4 linked regions of the Saccharomyces cerevisiae S288C genome follow. The protein of the gene in region 1 interacts with the protein of each later gene in a biochemical or structural test. Each region holds a gene or a part of one and is shown on either strand. Other genes may lie near its edges.

Region 1 (3,884 bases):
GCTTAGGGGGGGATTTTTTTAATTTTCAAGGGATTTCCATCCCTTGCGAAGGCAAGCGATCAGTATACGTAAATCTCTAACTAGAACATTTTCAAGTATTGACAGATATGAAAAAAAAAAAAAAAAAAAAAATTCTATATAATTACTTACAGTGCACATAAATGTATGCTTAAACGTCCACCCGTCCCAATACCTCCCATTCTTGAACGGGCCCCACACAGTTGACCACTTTAAACGTTCCTGGGATATTCCAAGATAGCGATGAAGATACGTCAAAATCCCATCTCATTTGCACTTCATTGGACCCATCAGCGTTTCCGGAACCCTTACGTTTCTCTCTTGGAACTAGTTGCACGTCTAGAGCATCTTCAATTCTTTGTTGAACTACTCGCAATGACGCCTGACTTACCGGATGAATATCCGAATAAAGCAATGAGACGTGAGGATGGAATTCCTCGTGCACCCAAGTGGCGGCACGGCTACTTCGCGTCTCAGGATCGATCTCTACGTACATCTCTCTCATGACTTGTGCGACCCCATAAAGTATTTTGTTCTTGTTACACTCGAGCACAATTTTCTTGAAATATTGTTTACCTACACTGCATCCATTGAAAGATACCAAAGGAGCTGCAACAGCATGGGATACCTGTCCCTTACGTCCTTTCTTTGCTGTTTGGTGTGACCTTATCGATTGGATGGCAGCAACACAGGAGGTCAAGATTTTGTTGACATCATCTTTACTATTGCACACCAAATGGGACGTTACCGTCACATGAGGTTCAAAAACTGGTGAATCTGGGAACAACGTTTGAAACGAAAATATAAGCATCTGTAATGTCTCGTAAGCAACTGATCCTTGTGGTGGACAATACCATAATGCTATTGCCATTTTTCTGTGGTTACTGATATTAGCAAATTGAAGTATCGCGAATTCCCAAACTAGAATAATTACAATTGATGGTAAAATAAAATGATAAAATAATCTGATTAGATTCTTGGTATCTCAAAAGTGACTTTGATAACTTCTTGATTGTTTGTGCCCCTGCTTACGAATTGGGTTCTTATTAAACTTCACCTGCATCGCTTCTCCATCGGATCTAACCTAAAAAAAATAAAAACCCCCCGGTAAGCACTTGATCACGCCTACAAAATCACTTAGTGAACAAAGGAAAATAGATTGTTTTTAAAGTTGTGAAGTAGTGAACTATGGCTTCCCACATACACATATATACTGATACAGATGCAATATAACATTTAGTGTTAGAAAAATTTGCTTCTATCTTGATGACATTGAATACTCTTGGACGTAAAAAAAGACATCCGATTAAAGTGGAGGTAATCTACAAGAAAAGTTGTTCTTCCCCTCATTAGAAATCTTGCAATGGTCACGGCCGTCGCTATCAAAAATCAACGAAGTGAAGTGACTCTAATTTTTGTCTATTAATGTTGCGATGGCCTTATTTGCTATTCTAAGGTTTTCGCGAAGTATCAGGTATGATAAAAAAAATCATATTTTTGATCGCATCAAGAACAATCCCAATGGTAAAAACGGTAATAAAAAAGAGTCCATAGTCATATACCAATGCCAGTGTGTAAGAACTGTCACGGAACCGAATTTGAGAGAGATCTTTCCAATGCTAACAACGATTTAGTTTGTAAAGCTTGTGGTGTTGTCTCAGAAGATAATCCTATCGTCTCTGAAGTTACATTCGGTGAAACAAGTGCAGGTGCTGCTGTAGTACAAGGTTCTTTTATCGGTGCAGGACAAAGTCATGCTGCATTTGGTGGTTCTAGTGCTCTAGAATCTAGAGAAGCCACATTGAACAATGCAAGAAGGAAATTACGCGCCGTTTCTTACGCATTACATATCCCGGAATATATCACAGATGCTGCTTTCCAATGGTATAAGCTTGCATTGGCTAATAACTTTGTACAAGGTCGTAGGTCCCAAAATGTTATCGCTTCATGTCTTTACGTTGCATGTAGAAAGGAAAAGACGCATCATATGCTGATCGACTTCTCTTCAAGGTTACAGGTGAGTGTGTATTCCATAGGAGCCACATTTTTGAAAATGGTAAAGAAATTACATATCACAGAATTGCCGTTAGCGGATCCTTCCTTATTCATTCAACATTTTGCCGAAAAATTGGATCTTGCTGACAAGAAGATCAAAGTGGTAAAAGATGCCGTAAAATTGGCTCAAAGAATGTCCAAGGACTGGATGTTTGAAGGACGTAGACCTGCAGGTATTGCCGGCGCATGTATTCTACTAGCTTGCAGGATGAATAATTTGAGAAGAACTCATACAGAGATCGTCGCAGTTTCACATGTCGCCGAGGAAACTTTACAGCAACGGTTGAACGAATTCAAAAATACAAAGGCTGCTAAACTTTCAGTTCAAAAATTTAGAGAAAATGATGTGGAAGACGGTGAGGCTAGGCCTCCCTCCTTTGTGAAGAACAGAAAGAAAGAAAGAAAAATAAAGGACTCTTTAGACAAAGAAGAGATGTTTCAAACAAGTGAAGAAGCATTGAATAAAAATCCAATTTTGACGCAAGTATTAGGAGAACAAGAACTGTCTTCCAAGGAAGTCCTGTTTTACTTAAAACAATTTTCAGAAAGAAGGGCCCGTGTTGTGGAGAGGATTAAGGCTACTAATGGTATAGATGGTGAAAATATATACCATGAAGGTTCTGAAAACGAAACAAGGAAACGCAAACTTTCTGAAGTTTCTATCCAGAACGAGCATGTTGAAGGGGAAGACAAAGAGACGGAAGGGACTGAGGAAAAAGTCAAGAAGGTAAAGACAAAAACATCAGAAGAAAAGAAAGAGAACGAATCTGGGCATTTTCAAGATGCCATTGATGGTTACTCTCTAGAAACAGACCCATATTGTCCTCGCAATTTACACTTGTTACCCACAACGGACACATACCTTTCGAAAGTTAGTGACGACCCAGATAATTTAGAAGATGTTGATGATGAGGAGTTAAACGCGCACCTATTAAACGAGGAAGCTTCTAAATTGAAGGAAAGAATTTGGATTGGTCTGAACGCAGATTTCTTACTTGAACAAGAGAGTAAACGTTTGAAACAGGAGGCAGATATTGCCACAGGTAACACATCAGTGAAAAAAAAACGTACGAGACGTAGGAATAATACTAGAAGTGACGAACCTACAAAAACTGTGGATGCAGCAGCAGCTATCGGATTGATGTCAGACTTACAAGATAAGTCTGGTTTACACGCTGCATTGAAGGCAGCTGAGGAAAGTGGTGATTTCACAACTGCTGATAGTGTCAAGAACATGTTGCAGAAGGCAAGTTTCTCCAAGAAGATTAATTACGACGCCATTGACGGTTTGTTTAGGTAACGTTTAGGTAATCAACCCTAGGAAGGAAAAAGGGAACGGAAATAAAGACGCAATACATTTGGTTTTGGCTAAAATATATAGAACATGAAGTGCAAAAGAATTAAAGGTGCATTAACTATTTAATATGTATGTGATTATATAAATCTAAAATCTCAATGTCGTAACAATCACTGTTCCATTAAAAAAACGGGTAAGGTGGAAATTTCAGTTTTTTTTTTTTTTCTTTTCTTTTGCTTGATCGGCTAAAAAATGAAAATTTTAAACTCATCTCATCGCAGATAACCATAACACGCTTAACAGATAGAACGTTCTACCACTAAAAAAACATATCAAACGTCACTTTTTTGAATAAGTAATAATAGTTAAGGAGGAAGCACAAGACGCACTGAATATACCAATCAAGGGCATCAACAATGGGTAGAAGAAGTAGAGCAGCTATGCTCCCAACAAATATCATTCTTTTACAGAATTTGGTAAAGCGTGACCCAGAGTCCTATCAAGAGGAGTTTCT
Region 2 (5,946 bases), on another chromosome or scaffold:
TGAAGTTAAGGAAGAAAAGGCCAGATTAATGAGAGAAAGTATGGAAGAACAAGACAAAGAAAGAGAAACAGAAGAAGCAAAATTATTAAACAGTCTGGAAAGTGATGATGACAACGAAGATGTTGAAATGTCAGACGCTTAACAACTCAGCAAGATTTGATTTTTTGTCTTGAATTCAATAGTTAAGTCTATAAATGTGTAAAATAAAGAAAAGTCTTTTTTAAAGCGTATATATCATTGTGCTCACATGTGCTAACATGTGAGCACTCCAAGCTTTCTCTTGTCAGCTGGATATTTTTATATTTTGGCCGGTTTATGGATAGAAAACACGTCAAACGTTCGATGGATCTTATAAAAAGTAATGATGTAAAGCAAGGTACAAAAATGAAAGAAGTACGGTTTACTGTTATATAATTTTCGAAATCGTTCAACTCTCTTAAAGTTCCTCACGAAATAGATATGATTGCTAACATAACGCAAAATTTAGTACAAGATATATGATTTCTTACTGCTGGAAGATATCTTCCAATCTTAATCTTGGGGCTATGTTCATGGATAATAATTCCTGGAATAACAGTTTTGCTGCATATGGAATAGTCATCTTAATAATATTCTCAGCACTTTTGCAGGTAGTACACCAACCACTATAGCCCATTAATCCACATTTATCGCAGACATCAACTTCAAAAGCATCTGAACTAATCATCAACCTTTCTAACAGCAATTGTGAAGCACCATACGCGATTACACAATCCCTCTCCATCTCACCCAACCTCAGACCACCATCTCTAGATCTACCCTCAGTTGGTTGACGTGTCAAAACAGCCCTTGGACCACGAGCTCTTGCATGCATCTTATCTAAGACCATATGCTTTAACTTTTGATAGTAAATGGGGCCAAAAAAGATGTAAGCCTGTAAACACTCACCTGTTATACCTGAATATAACATATCCTTACCGGAATAGTTGAAACCTTGGTCTACCAAAATCTTAGACATATCTTCAAGTTTAGAACCACCAAAACAAGTACCATATTCCAATGTACCATTCAATACACCAGCTTTACCCGATATCAGTTCGATCATTTTACCCACAGTCATACGAGATGGAAAACCGTGAGGGTTCATGATAATGTCTGGAACTATACCTTGATCGTTGAAGGGCATGTCTTCTTGCTTTACAATAATACCACAAACACCTTTTTGACCATGTCTAGAAGAAAATTTGTCACCTAATTCTGGCCTTCTGTTTTGTCTTAGCAAAACTTTGATTAAAGCTTGATCGTTATCCGAAACAGACATCATAACTTGGTCAATGTGAGAAGGTTCTGGACCTCTATATATTACCGGAGCTTCCCTATATTGAGTTTGGACGTTTACGTTGTTTGGGTTTGGGGCGTCTGCTGAGTTAGTTGGAACTGACTTATTTATATAAATTTGTCCACTTTGGACCTTCATACCCACCTCACCTAGACCATCAGGACCAAGAGATTGATGTTGCCAGATAGGATCTCCATTTTCATCAACTCTCATACCACCGATGATATCTTGGGTATGGTTCGCATATCTTTTCAAAACAGTGGTTGTCTTTCTACGTGTTTCGCAACGGCCGAAACCTCTATCGATGGATGACTTATTCAAAACCAAAGCATCTTCAATATCATAACCAGAATAGGACATGACAGCAACCGTAGCATTTTGACCAGCAGGTAATTTATCATAATCGATCAATTCAATTGTTTTGGTTTTCACCATTGGCTGTTGTGGATAAGTCATCAAGTATAATAATGTATCTATTCTCTTGAATTGATTGTAGGCGATTGCACCAATCGCTTGCTTACCCATCGCACATTGATATGTGTTACGAGGGGATTGGTTATGATGTGGATATGGAATTAAACCAGCAACAGCACCTAAAATTGTGAATGGCTCGATTTCTAAATGTGTCATCGAGGGAACTATATCTTTTTCATACAATGCAATGTAAGAATCGTTTTCTTCATTGACATCTAAATATTCCACCAATCCGAGTTTCAAAAAATCATCGAAATCTAACTCACCATCTAATAATTTGCGTAAATGAATATCTTTCACGCGAGATTGACCATCAGAAACAATGATTAATGGCCTACAAATTCTACCACCATCTGTTGCAATATGAACTGCCATTTGGTGAGAATTTGAATAAATTGAGATAAACTCCGACACTTTACCTGTTCTTCTCAGATGTCTGAACTGAGTAACGAATTTTGTTGGGAATCTGATTGAACCAATTAAAGTACCATTCAAATAAACACCATAGTTTAAATGCAAGGATGCACTGTCAATCAATGTTATGTCTTCTACACCAAGAACATAACATAATTTCTTTATAGGTTCCTCTTCGTCATCTGTAGTAATATGAGTCATTAATGCTAAATTTTTCACTAGACCACACGCCTCACCTTCTGGAGTATCTGCAGTACAAAGCATACCAAATTGAGAAGGTTGTAATGCTCTTGGACCGGAAACTTTTCTTGATTTTTCAAACTGAGAAGAAATTCTTGTCATCATACCCAATGCGGAAATATAAGATAGTCTGGAAAGAACATGTGTAACACCCGCTCTTTCCATCTTAAATCTTTTAAGAGACCAATTACCGGTTGAGATAGCTCTGTTCAGTCCGCTGGTGATGTTATTTGAATGGACGTTAATTGACAATAATGCATCGTATTCCATAGCCCTATTTGGTTTTTTCAAGACCTTATCAATGCTTAGTTTAAAATCATTATTAAACTTTTTGAACAAATCTTCGAACAATAAAGAAATCAATTGGCCTGCTAATTCAAGACGTTTATTACCAACATAATCTCTATCATCAATCATCTTAGGGTTATACATTGCCATCACCACCCTGCGCGTCATCATGGCAATATATAAAGCCTTTTCTCTAAAGTCAAGGGCTTCCACAGTCAAATGTGCAATAACCGTGGTAGCAATGGCCTCTATACCCTCTTGCAGGATAGTCAGTTTTTGCCTTCTCATTGTCTTTACTTTTGCACCAATATACTCTAAAGCTTGCTGTTGTGTGTAAATATCTAATTTCGAAGATTCTTCCAAATTGACTGCAAAAATATCTTGGTAGCTACTATCATTACCGCAAACCAATTGCATAATTTCTAAATCTGATAAAATACCACAGGCTTTGAGAACAATAGCAATAGGAATTTCTTCAGCGATGGAATTGTGCTTCAAATAGATCTTGCCATTTTTGGTAATGACATAAGTCTTAGATTTTCTTTCATGGGTAGATGAAGTAACGGAGGCCTGAACAATGCCTTTCTTCTCATCTGCCTCCACAATAATACGATTCTTGGATAATTGTTCTTGAACAAGAATTACTTTTTCGGTACCGTTAACAATAAAGTAACCACCAGGATCCAACGGACACTCGTTTAATTTAGCCATTTTCGATTCATCAGCATCATATAGGATACATTTATTAGATCTCAGCATGATCGGCATCCTACCAATTTCCACGTCTTTATGCATAATAATGTTTCTACCTCTAGTGTATTCTATATCCACGTAGATTGGTGCAGAGTATGTCATATCTCTAAGCCTACACTCATGAGGCGGAGTCAAATAATCTTTTGTCGAAGAAGAGGACTTCTTACCCACTCTAATATCGACGTACTTCAGGTAGAATTCTGGATCAACATCACTCAAAATTAATTGATTTGCCTTTATAATTTTTTTTAAATCTGTATCAACGAAGTAGTTAAATGAGTCAAGATGTTGCTTCACCAAACCTTTAACCTTCAAGAATGCTGGTAAAAGGTGCCACTTATCCTGAGCAGTATTGATTTCATCAGTTAGTTTCTTACCTTTATATACTGGTTTCAATAAATCATCAAAAGCCTCGTCTTTCACATGCTTATGTATATGAGTTTTCCGTCTTTTTGTCGCAGCAACCATTTTTCAACAAGCACTAAGTCCCTAGCGATTAAAACGCTCAATTATCAACACTTTAAACTCCCTTTAATTCTTTCCTAACTTGTCCATATATCATCACTTAAGCATAGATCGAAAAATTTTCAGCTCATCTCACAATTACAATTTCGTCCGACGTGATCTGGAAAATACGCGCCTGCTTTATGGAACTATTTATATCTTTATGTGTAGTACACCTAACAATAAGGAATATATAAAAATAATGCACCTATTAAAACCTTTGGGAAGTGCCAACTTTGAATCATCATCTTTCTTTGAACACCGCGCTGCGACCTTTGACAAGAAAGACGAGATCACTCAACCTGACAGACCCGATTCCCCTGGTTCCCCTCTTCCGCTTTGCACAGCCCTTTTCGCTTAGTTTGGAAGCCTAGGTCCGATCCCCAGTGCTATTAATAGTTTACAATAAAATAGGATCGACGTTGCTATTGATGGATCGCATAGCACAGCAATATCGTAATGGCAAAAGAGACAATAACGGCAATAGAATGGCTTCTTCCGCTATATCGGAAAAGGGCCACATACAAGTCAATCAAACTAGAACACCTGGTCAAATGCCCGTCTATAGAGGTGAAACTATAAATCTGTCTAACCTTCCCCAAAATCAAATTAAACCGTGCAAAGATTTGGACGACGTTAACATACGGCGGAACAACTCTAATAGGCATTCTAAAATACTTTTACTAGATCTGTGCGCTGGCCCCAATACCAACTCATTTTTAGGCAATACCAATGCTAAGGATATCACAGTTTTATCGTTGCCGCTACCCAGCACTTTGGTGAAAAGGTCGAACTACCCGTTCGAGAACTTACTAAAGAATTACCTTGGATCTGATGAAAAGTATATTGAGTTCACAAAGATCATCAAAGATTATGATATTTTCATTTTCAGTGATTCGTTTAGCAGAATTTCGAGTTGTTTAAAGACAACTTTTTGCCTCATTGAGAAGTTTAAAAAGTTCATCTGCCATTTTTTTCCATCTCCTTATTTGAAATTCTTTCTTCTCGAAGGCTCTCTGAATGATAGCAAGGCCCCCTCATTAGGAAAAAATAAGAAAAATTGCATCTTGCCCAAATTGGATTTGAACTTGAATGTAAACTTAACTTCAAGGTCAACTTTAAATTTAAGAATAAACATACCTCCACCCAATGATTCAAATAAAATATTTTTACAGTCTCTGAAAAAGGATCTAATTCATTATTCTCCTAATTCTTTGCAAAAGTTTTTCCAATTCAATATGCCTGCTGACTTAGCACCTAACGACACGATTTTACCGAATTGGCTAAAATTCTGCTCCGTAAAAGAAAATGAAAAGGTAATATTAAAGAAACTCTTTAACAATTTTGAAACTTTAGAAAATTTTGAAATGCAAAGATTAGAGAAATGCCTGAAATTCAAGAAAAAGCCTTTACATCAAAAGCAGCTATCACAAAAGCAGAGGGGTCCGCAATCCACGGATGATTCAAAATTATATTCTTTAACTAGTTTGCAACGACAGTATAAAAGTTCTTTGAAAAGCAACATACAGAAAAATCAAAAGCTAAAATTAATTATACCAAAAAACAACACATCTTCTTCGCCATCACCATTATCTTCCGATGATACTATAATGTCACCAATAAATGATTACGAACTTACTGAAGGAATTCAGTCTTTTACTAAGAATAGATATTCTAATATCTTACCTTACGAACATTCAAGAGTAAAGTTACCTCACTCCCCGAAACCACCTGCAGTTTCTGAAGCATCCACAACCGAAACTAAAACAGATAAGTCATATCCGATGTGTCCCGTAGATGCAAAAAACCACTCCTGCAAACCGAACGACTATATCAATGCGAACTATTTGAAGCTCACGCAAATTAATCCTGATTTCAAGTATATTGCTACCCAAGCTCCGCTTCCTTCTACGATGGATGATTTTTGGAAGGTTATTACTTTAAATAAAGTTAAA
Region 3 (4,210 bases), on another chromosome or scaffold:
AATTGTTACAGTTTCCACACTAGGTCCCCTCACAAGTATAATTGTACCTAAGGCAAACAATCCCATTATAATTAAGATCTGGAAACTTCGCGCGATTGTCACTTCAAAAGTTCTATTAATATGTTCGAGAAATCTTGATCTTAGGCAAATTACATAGAACAAAATATTCAGTAGTAAAATAAGTACAATTTGGTGATATTGTATGCCCATGTTAATCTCTACCCTCCCATTTTGCTTGACTTTTTTGAACTTTCGGTTAGATACAGGTAAAACGGTAAATCTTATAAAATTGCCATTCTTGTCTTCATCGATAACTAATGTATACTTCTTTCTATTCAGTATACTAGTCTTACCAAATTCATACTCTTTACTAATCATATCATCCTTTTGTTTCTTTTGCTTATAGAACGATCCTCATATGTAACTTTCATAATACTGTTTTCGTTGCCAATTTTTTCTTCCGAACATCGCTTCATTTATTGATGCCGCGGTACACCTGAAGAAAATGATATAATACAACAAAAAGTTGTGCTATTTATCCATTATGTATGCATATAAATGTCTCTTATTGATCAATCTCAGGCTCTTCTTCACTTCCTTCATTATCCTCATTGTCATCATTATTCCTTTCTTTGAGTTTCTTCCTTTTCAAGTCATCAATTGTACCCAGAACAACTTCCGTTTTTCTATAAACTTTCAAATCATTTGTCATAATACCACCAGATCCCTTTTTATTCAAATTAGCATCATTTAGCCTTTGTGCAGTTTGGTCTTCCTCCTTTGCCGTATTCTTTGCTTCTTCGATTTCCTTCATATGATGTTTGTGCTCGTTTTGTAATTCGATTAGTTTCTCGTTGAAGTCTGCTACTGTACCAATGTTCTTCTTGATTTCGCAGCAATACTCATCAAAATTAGGCGGTAGCTTAGATCGAAGGGCCAATTCAATCAATATTGGACGTTTCTTCTCCTCATTAACGAATTTGGCCTTCACTTGTTTTCTTGATCTATAAGGGTATAATTGTGAGATCAAATTGAAATCTGTCCCCCACATAGAAAGCGCCTTGTAGAACTTTATCATTTCTTCCACAGTCCACGGGTCTGTGTATGAACCCCTACCATACGACCCGTAATTATAAAGATTGGCAAAAGGGTTTTCATCAACTTTTTCTTTATATTCATTTTCGATACTAGCATTTTTGTGTCTGTCAACAACCATAGTCTCTTCATCAATTGCCATAGTACCATCAGGGTTAAGCTTCAGTTGGATCGCCGTATGTGCTTTGCGGTCTGACTCAGGAATGTCAGCGTTGAGTAGTTTATCTCTTTCTTCCTTTCTCTTCTCCTCTTCTTCTTCCTGTTCTTCTTTAGTCAATGAGTGTAGTGGTTTAAATTCTTGTCGTGCGCGCATTCTGAGTTCTCTAAGATGCCTTCTCTTTTCCAATTTTGCCTTTTTTGCCATTTTAGATTTTTCAAAGTTTTCAGATATTTGACCAATAGGAAAGTTTGGCTTACACAACTCTGCCATCGTAAAATTCTCTTCATCGATAAAATATTTAGCAGACTCCCCATCTCTCACTTTTTTCGGGATATCTTTGACTTTGCTAATCACATAATTTTCATTCTCATCAGCTTCTCTTGATGTAGAAGTTTCTGACGAAAATTCATTCCTGTCCAAAGAATCGGTCATTGCCGTAGGTGGAGAAATTTTGGAGACAATACTGATTCTGTGTGCACCTGCTGGTTTCTTAGCCGAAGAAGGTTTGCCCAAAACCCTATGTCTTTTGAAAGTTTTCAGATTCATATCGTTTTCTGTAATGCTTCCAAGCCTTATCTTTTTAGGAAGCTTATTGGAGATTGTAGATAAACGTCGCGCAGTCCCATTACTGTTACTGGAAGAATCGAGAAATGACGGTTTAAAACTTGGACGACTTTCGTTGTCCTTACTCAGTGAAGCTAATCTGCTGGATCTCGGTACCTTCTGGTCTCGGTGGGTTTGCAAGGGTGCCGGTTTTAGAGTCACATTATCTTCTATAACGTCTGCTTTGGGGTTCTGGGTCGAGGCGTCAATGGGGCCCTCATCACCTATTTCATTATCATGTCCATTAGTGCCGGTTAAGGTAAAGCCTTCTAAAGAGCGTTCTCCAACTAGCGAAGGTTTCTCAACAATAGCCGTTTCATTTTCATCAACACCTTTATCGTTATCACTATTATCTTCTTCTATTTCTTTACTTTCGGGAATGAAAAGTTGAGGGGTTCTTGGCTTTGGAGTTGGTGTTCCTCCAGTGGCGGCTCTACGCTGCCTTACTTTAGGGGCAAAGCGTGTACCACTTTTATTAACAATACTACTCATAAATACCTGGTAATCAGTGGCTCCTTGCCGGTTGTTTGTATTTCTTTAATAGGTTAGAAGTCAAAGTTATAATTTCCTTCGCTTTGCGTTTGCATGTTCGAAGTTGTTTTTTTTTAATTTTTTTTTTTGGGTATAATAAGTAATGGAAAACGCGTCTTCTGGGAACATTAAAGTTGCCTATTATAAACTACATAAAAGAAAAGAATAGACCATGCTTATTGACTTCCTGAGACTTGATCACGATAAATACCTACCATTATGTATACAACAAATCTGCGTATACAAATGGCACATTTCTCAACATGATGCGAAATCATGGCTTAAATAATCAGAGAGGGCGGCAAACTCGGCATTCGAAATGGATGTAATTTTACCTTGCCACTTGCCACCTTTCTTACCACCACCGCCTTTTAGGTTTTGTAGTATCGAACCTAAGTTAGCAGCCAAATTGGCAATTTTTTCACCCGATTCCGAAAGAATTAGCAGTGAGCCAGTGTTCGTTTGTCTTTCATAACCGCATAGGATAATTTCGTAACCTTCTGTATCATCTTTCAAAAAATTAGATACTTCCTTGTGGATCTGTAGCAACAGTTCCAATGTTCCGTATTCTTCTTCCATAAAATAAGCCCTTTTCTTTCCACTGGCTTTCAGTGTGTTCATTAATTCTTCAGAAGCGGTACGTGCTAATCTCTTTATCCAATACTGTTCTCTTTTATTTAATTGTTGAATTTGTTTGGTTTGCCTTGTTATCTTCTCAGAAATTTGAGTTTCTGAACAACTCAATAAGTTTTTAGAATCCAGTAAAATTTTATTAACAGATTTTGCATACAAAGAAACCCGCTTCCCACACATGAAATAGAGCCTTGAGTTTGAACCTCTTACGGCTGATTGATTGGAAAGAATTAAAATGGAACCTATTTGAGAGGTACATTTCAAATGTGTACCACAACATGGGTTAGAATCAATGTCACCGATGTGGATAGTACGTAGAACACCTTTGGAGAGGTCGTAATCGTCTGGAATTTTGGATGTACTAACTTCATCTACTGTTTCTTCACCGATTCTTTCCTCTACAATAATTTCCTGAGGAAAGTTGATGATCAACTGATTAATCTCATCTGATACGTTCGTTATTTCGTCGAGAGTCAATTTCCTGTTCAACTCTATATAATTGAAATAGTCGCTAGGCTCTAGAACAGGTTTTTTCTTTGTGATGATACCACCCATCGACCAAGATACAGTGTCTACTTTGTAGTTGCGTTCCAGAATGGCACTTAACAAGTGTTGACCAGTATGTTGTTGCATATAATCCATTCTCTTTTGCTCGTCCACGGCCACTTCCACTGTTGTTCCGGGCTCAATGTAGTCATTGACATGATGCTTTGCATGTAAACCGAAACGAGAAACGTGTGAAACTAATATCTTCTCAATTTTCGACGAATTACGATTCCCTTCAACAATTTTCAAAAAACCAGAATCACTTGGTTGGCCCCCACCTTCGGGGAACAGAATAGTATCTTGTAGTTCAATCTCATAACCTTCAATCTCTCCCTTTTTATTCTTCGTTGGTTCGCAAGAAACAACCAGTGTTTTGAACCCATCGAAGAGAAATGAGTTCCTCTGGCAGGCTAAAGCGCCGACCTTGACAGGCGTCATAGGTGTGGGCATGATAACTTACCTTTTAATCAATTTTTGACGCTGTTGTGTGCTTTCGTCGATATGCGTCACCAGGATGTCTATTCTTAAGTTTTTTTTACACGATAAGGATAAAAAATAAAAAGATGTTAATGATGGGTGGTTGGTTCTTTTACTAATGAAAAGTGTAAGCATATTTCGTACAAATTGCTTGCAATAAGTCAC
Region 4 (2,641 bases), on another chromosome or scaffold:
GCAACGCTTCTCTTAGTATGAAAAAGCTCTTCGAAAGACTATATTTTTGAAAGCTTTAATATGTTTATAAGTTAAATATTGTCGAACTTGTTTGCGACAGCTCTTGAAGTCACGGTGCGTCTTTTTTTACTCGTCAACTGGTATAACAATGCGTATGACAATTATTATATAACTATTACTTTATTCTTGCCATGAAGGGATTACTGTAACGCCCTCAACTAGTATACCCTTTTAAGCCTCGACAAAAATACAGAATAAACAAAAGTTAAATCTCACCGAAGTTGCTTGTGGTACTGGCTTTACAGACGTTTATAACGCAGCACTAAATTTCCAAATAATAACCTTCCTCCAATGGAAATAAAAAAAATCGAGACTAACCCAAAGTGTGCGCAATAAACTCTAAAAAATAAAGTATATTCTTGTAAATATTTCTATATGCTTAAGTTCAATAATACATGCATACTCATTGAACATGTTATATTGTTACACAACAAAGTAATTTCTGTTTTTCGGAAGTGCCAGTCCAAATCAATTCAAAGCACTGTACACTCATGCGTAGCCAGAGATGATCTCTAGCATTTCCTCAATTGTTTTTTCGTCAAATCTTGCATCACACTCCTCCACTATGGAGTAAAGGTGGACCATATTGGCAGGAAGTTGATTGACAATCTGCAGTTTTTCAGCCTTGAATAATTTAAAAGAATTCAGTTTAGTCATCAACTCAGCAAAGCTTTCATCGCTCATTTTGCTTATACCCGATTTTTCAGCATCTTTTGCACCACTGCTTTCTCGTTCCTCGCCTTCATCTTCCTGGTTGATAAAGTTTTTGTTTATACTGAGATAGTTAACCACATTGCGAGTAATACCTTGCAATTCAGGATGATTGTAGGGCCTATTCTGCTTACCTTTCGAGCGACTTTTCTTCAGCGCAGCCAAACTTTTTTGGTCCCAAAGATGTTTTTTTTCTAGATCTGTTAGGAACTTCAAGACTTCATAGTCACTTAAAAATGCATTCCTTTCCTCAAGAACTTTCATAACGTTTAAAGTTTTTTGTTTAAGTGTCGATTTTTTCAGTGGTGGGTGTTGGATTCACTCAACTTCTCTTCTACTGTGGCTGTTATTTGCTTAACTTTCATAGATCGATGGCATTGAAAAAAATAATTTTTCAGGCAATTTTCCTTTTTTTACTTGGTATAATTTTCAGGAATTGAAGGATTTTTCAACGAATTAGCCTTGTTGGCGCAATCGGTAGCGCGTATGACTCTTAATCATAAGGTTAGGGGTTCGAGCCCCCTACAGGGCTAATATTTTTTTCTTGCCCACTTATTCAAGGAATAAGTGCTAATTATCTTTCAACCTTGCAGCGAAGCTTTCTTTTGTATTTCATCTCATAGAAGGTGAAATATCACACTATTTTGTAAATAGAAATAGTATATGTAGTTCGTGGAGAACCAGACTGCAGACTATCAATAAAAGGTTACATTCTGTTCAACTCATGTGACCAGAAGTTTGATTAAGCAAAATTGTTCTTCTCCTTAACATATGATATTATCTGAAGGAATCTAGAAAAGCTTGATCATTCCGCAGAATAACCTATCAAAATGATTGGGAGGACCATTTTATAATTCATGCTACATATATAACATTATACAGTAAACCCTTTTAATGTAATGGATTGCTCATAGTTGTGTACACGAACTGTTTGCTAATAAGCTTGTTTTAGCTTCTATTGCTAAAGAAATTACTGACGAAGAGTTTATGACAAGGAAAGATGAACGAAAGTACAATTTACCGGTTAGTGTCAGCGCCAAAGGATCCACGCACTAGCAAAATAATGAAAATTGTGCCGGATATTCAAGACTAAGAGATGTACAAGTTGAAATATAAGTAACCCTCGGCATAAACTACTCTGTCGTAAGATCATTAACATGTCGATTTGCCTGTGACATTTAACGATTCACAAATAGCGGAATTAAATGATACTTTATCTATCCTAAAACGCACGAAGCATACTTTAGAATGCATGCTCTTAGTAAGTATGCATTGCCGACTTCTCTGTAAGACTTTTATCTCGTTTCAGACCTAATCTGCAACAAGAGAAAGGGAAGAGGACGGTATTGTTACGACGTTATTGGCGGCTAGGAAAGAGAGAATCACCATGAACGATATGGTGCAAAAAAAATAAAAAAATAAATTGAAACGGACAGGAATTGAACCTGCAACCCTTCGATTGCAATCTTATTCCGTGGAATTTCCAAGATTTAATTGGAGTCGAAAGCTCTACCATTGAGCCACCGCTTCAACTTTTGTTGAAAATTTAGGCTAACATTTTCTAATAGGTGACATTACAAAATCCAGTCTTACAGTTATGCTTAATATTGACCAGTAGTCATATTACTGGCATATTATCTGTTAGAATAGTGACATACTATTCTTTATTACTGATGAATTTGTAATTGTGAAGCAATTAGACGCAAACGTCATTGATGTGTCAGGATGGAGAACGATATAGACTATGTGATAATGTAAAGTTAAATATCTGTTACTTGAACAATTAACTTGACGTTTGTATATGTAAGGATATGGGTCATTACATAGAAACTATAGTAAATAGTCTCAGTATTGTTATATTTGTCATGTT

Evidence for each region.
Region 2: the proteins of BRF1 (region 1) and RET1 form a complex in vitro, tested with the Saccharomyces cerevisiae proteins (one study listed by BioGRID).
Region 3: the proteins of BRF1 (region 1) and BDP1 form a complex in vitro, tested with the Saccharomyces cerevisiae proteins (4 studies listed by BioGRID).
Region 4: the proteins of BRF1 (region 1) and RPC17 form a complex in vitro, tested with the Saccharomyces cerevisiae proteins (one study listed by BioGRID).

What each region holds. Positions count from the first base shown.
Region 1 is NC_001139.9:981,971-985,854, reverse strand, and holds BRF1 (transcription factor TFIIIB subunit BRF1), read left to right. Parts: upstream 1-1,582; coding exon 1,583-3,373; downstream 3,374-3,884. Other genes in the region: CPD1 (2',3'-cyclic-nucleotide 3'-phosphodiesterase), read right to left, coding at 170-889; SDA1 (Sda1p), read left to right, coding at 3,787-3,884. UniProt on the Saccharomyces cerevisiae protein: General activator of RNA polymerase III transcription. Interacts with TBP. Binds to Pol III subunit C34 and to the TAU135 component of TFIIIC.
Region 2 is NC_001147.6:729,503-735,448, forward strand, and holds RET1 (DNA-directed RNA polymerase III core subunit RET1), read right to left. Parts: upstream 3,956-5,946; coding exon 506-3,955; downstream 1-505. Other genes in the region: mRNA-binding ribosome synthesis protein NOC2, read left to right, coding at 1-142; tyrosine protein phosphatase PTP2, read left to right, coding at 4,423-5,946. UniProt on the Saccharomyces cerevisiae protein: DNA-dependent RNA polymerase catalyzes the transcription of DNA into RNA using the four ribonucleoside triphosphates as substrates. Second largest core component of RNA polymerase III which synthesizes small RNAs, such as 5S rRNA and tRNAs.
Region 3 is NC_001146.8:553,188-557,397, reverse strand, and holds BDP1 (transcription factor TFIIIB subunit BDP1), read right to left. Parts: upstream 2,351-4,210; coding exon 566-2,350; downstream 1-565. Other genes in the region: phosphatidylinositol N-acetylglucosaminyltransferase GPI15, read right to left, coding at 1-378; YNL040W (putative alanine--tRNA ligase), read right to left, coding at 2,648-4,018. UniProt on the Saccharomyces cerevisiae protein: General activator of RNA polymerase III transcription.
Region 4 is NC_001142.9:413,736-416,376, forward strand, and holds RPC17 (DNA-directed RNA polymerase III subunit RPC17), read right to left. Parts: upstream 1,036-2,641; coding exon 550-1,035; downstream 1-549. UniProt on the Saccharomyces cerevisiae protein: DNA-dependent RNA polymerase catalyzes the transcription of DNA into RNA using the four ribonucleoside triphosphates as substrates. Specific peripheric component of RNA polymerase III which synthesizes small RNAs, such as 5S rRNA and tRNAs.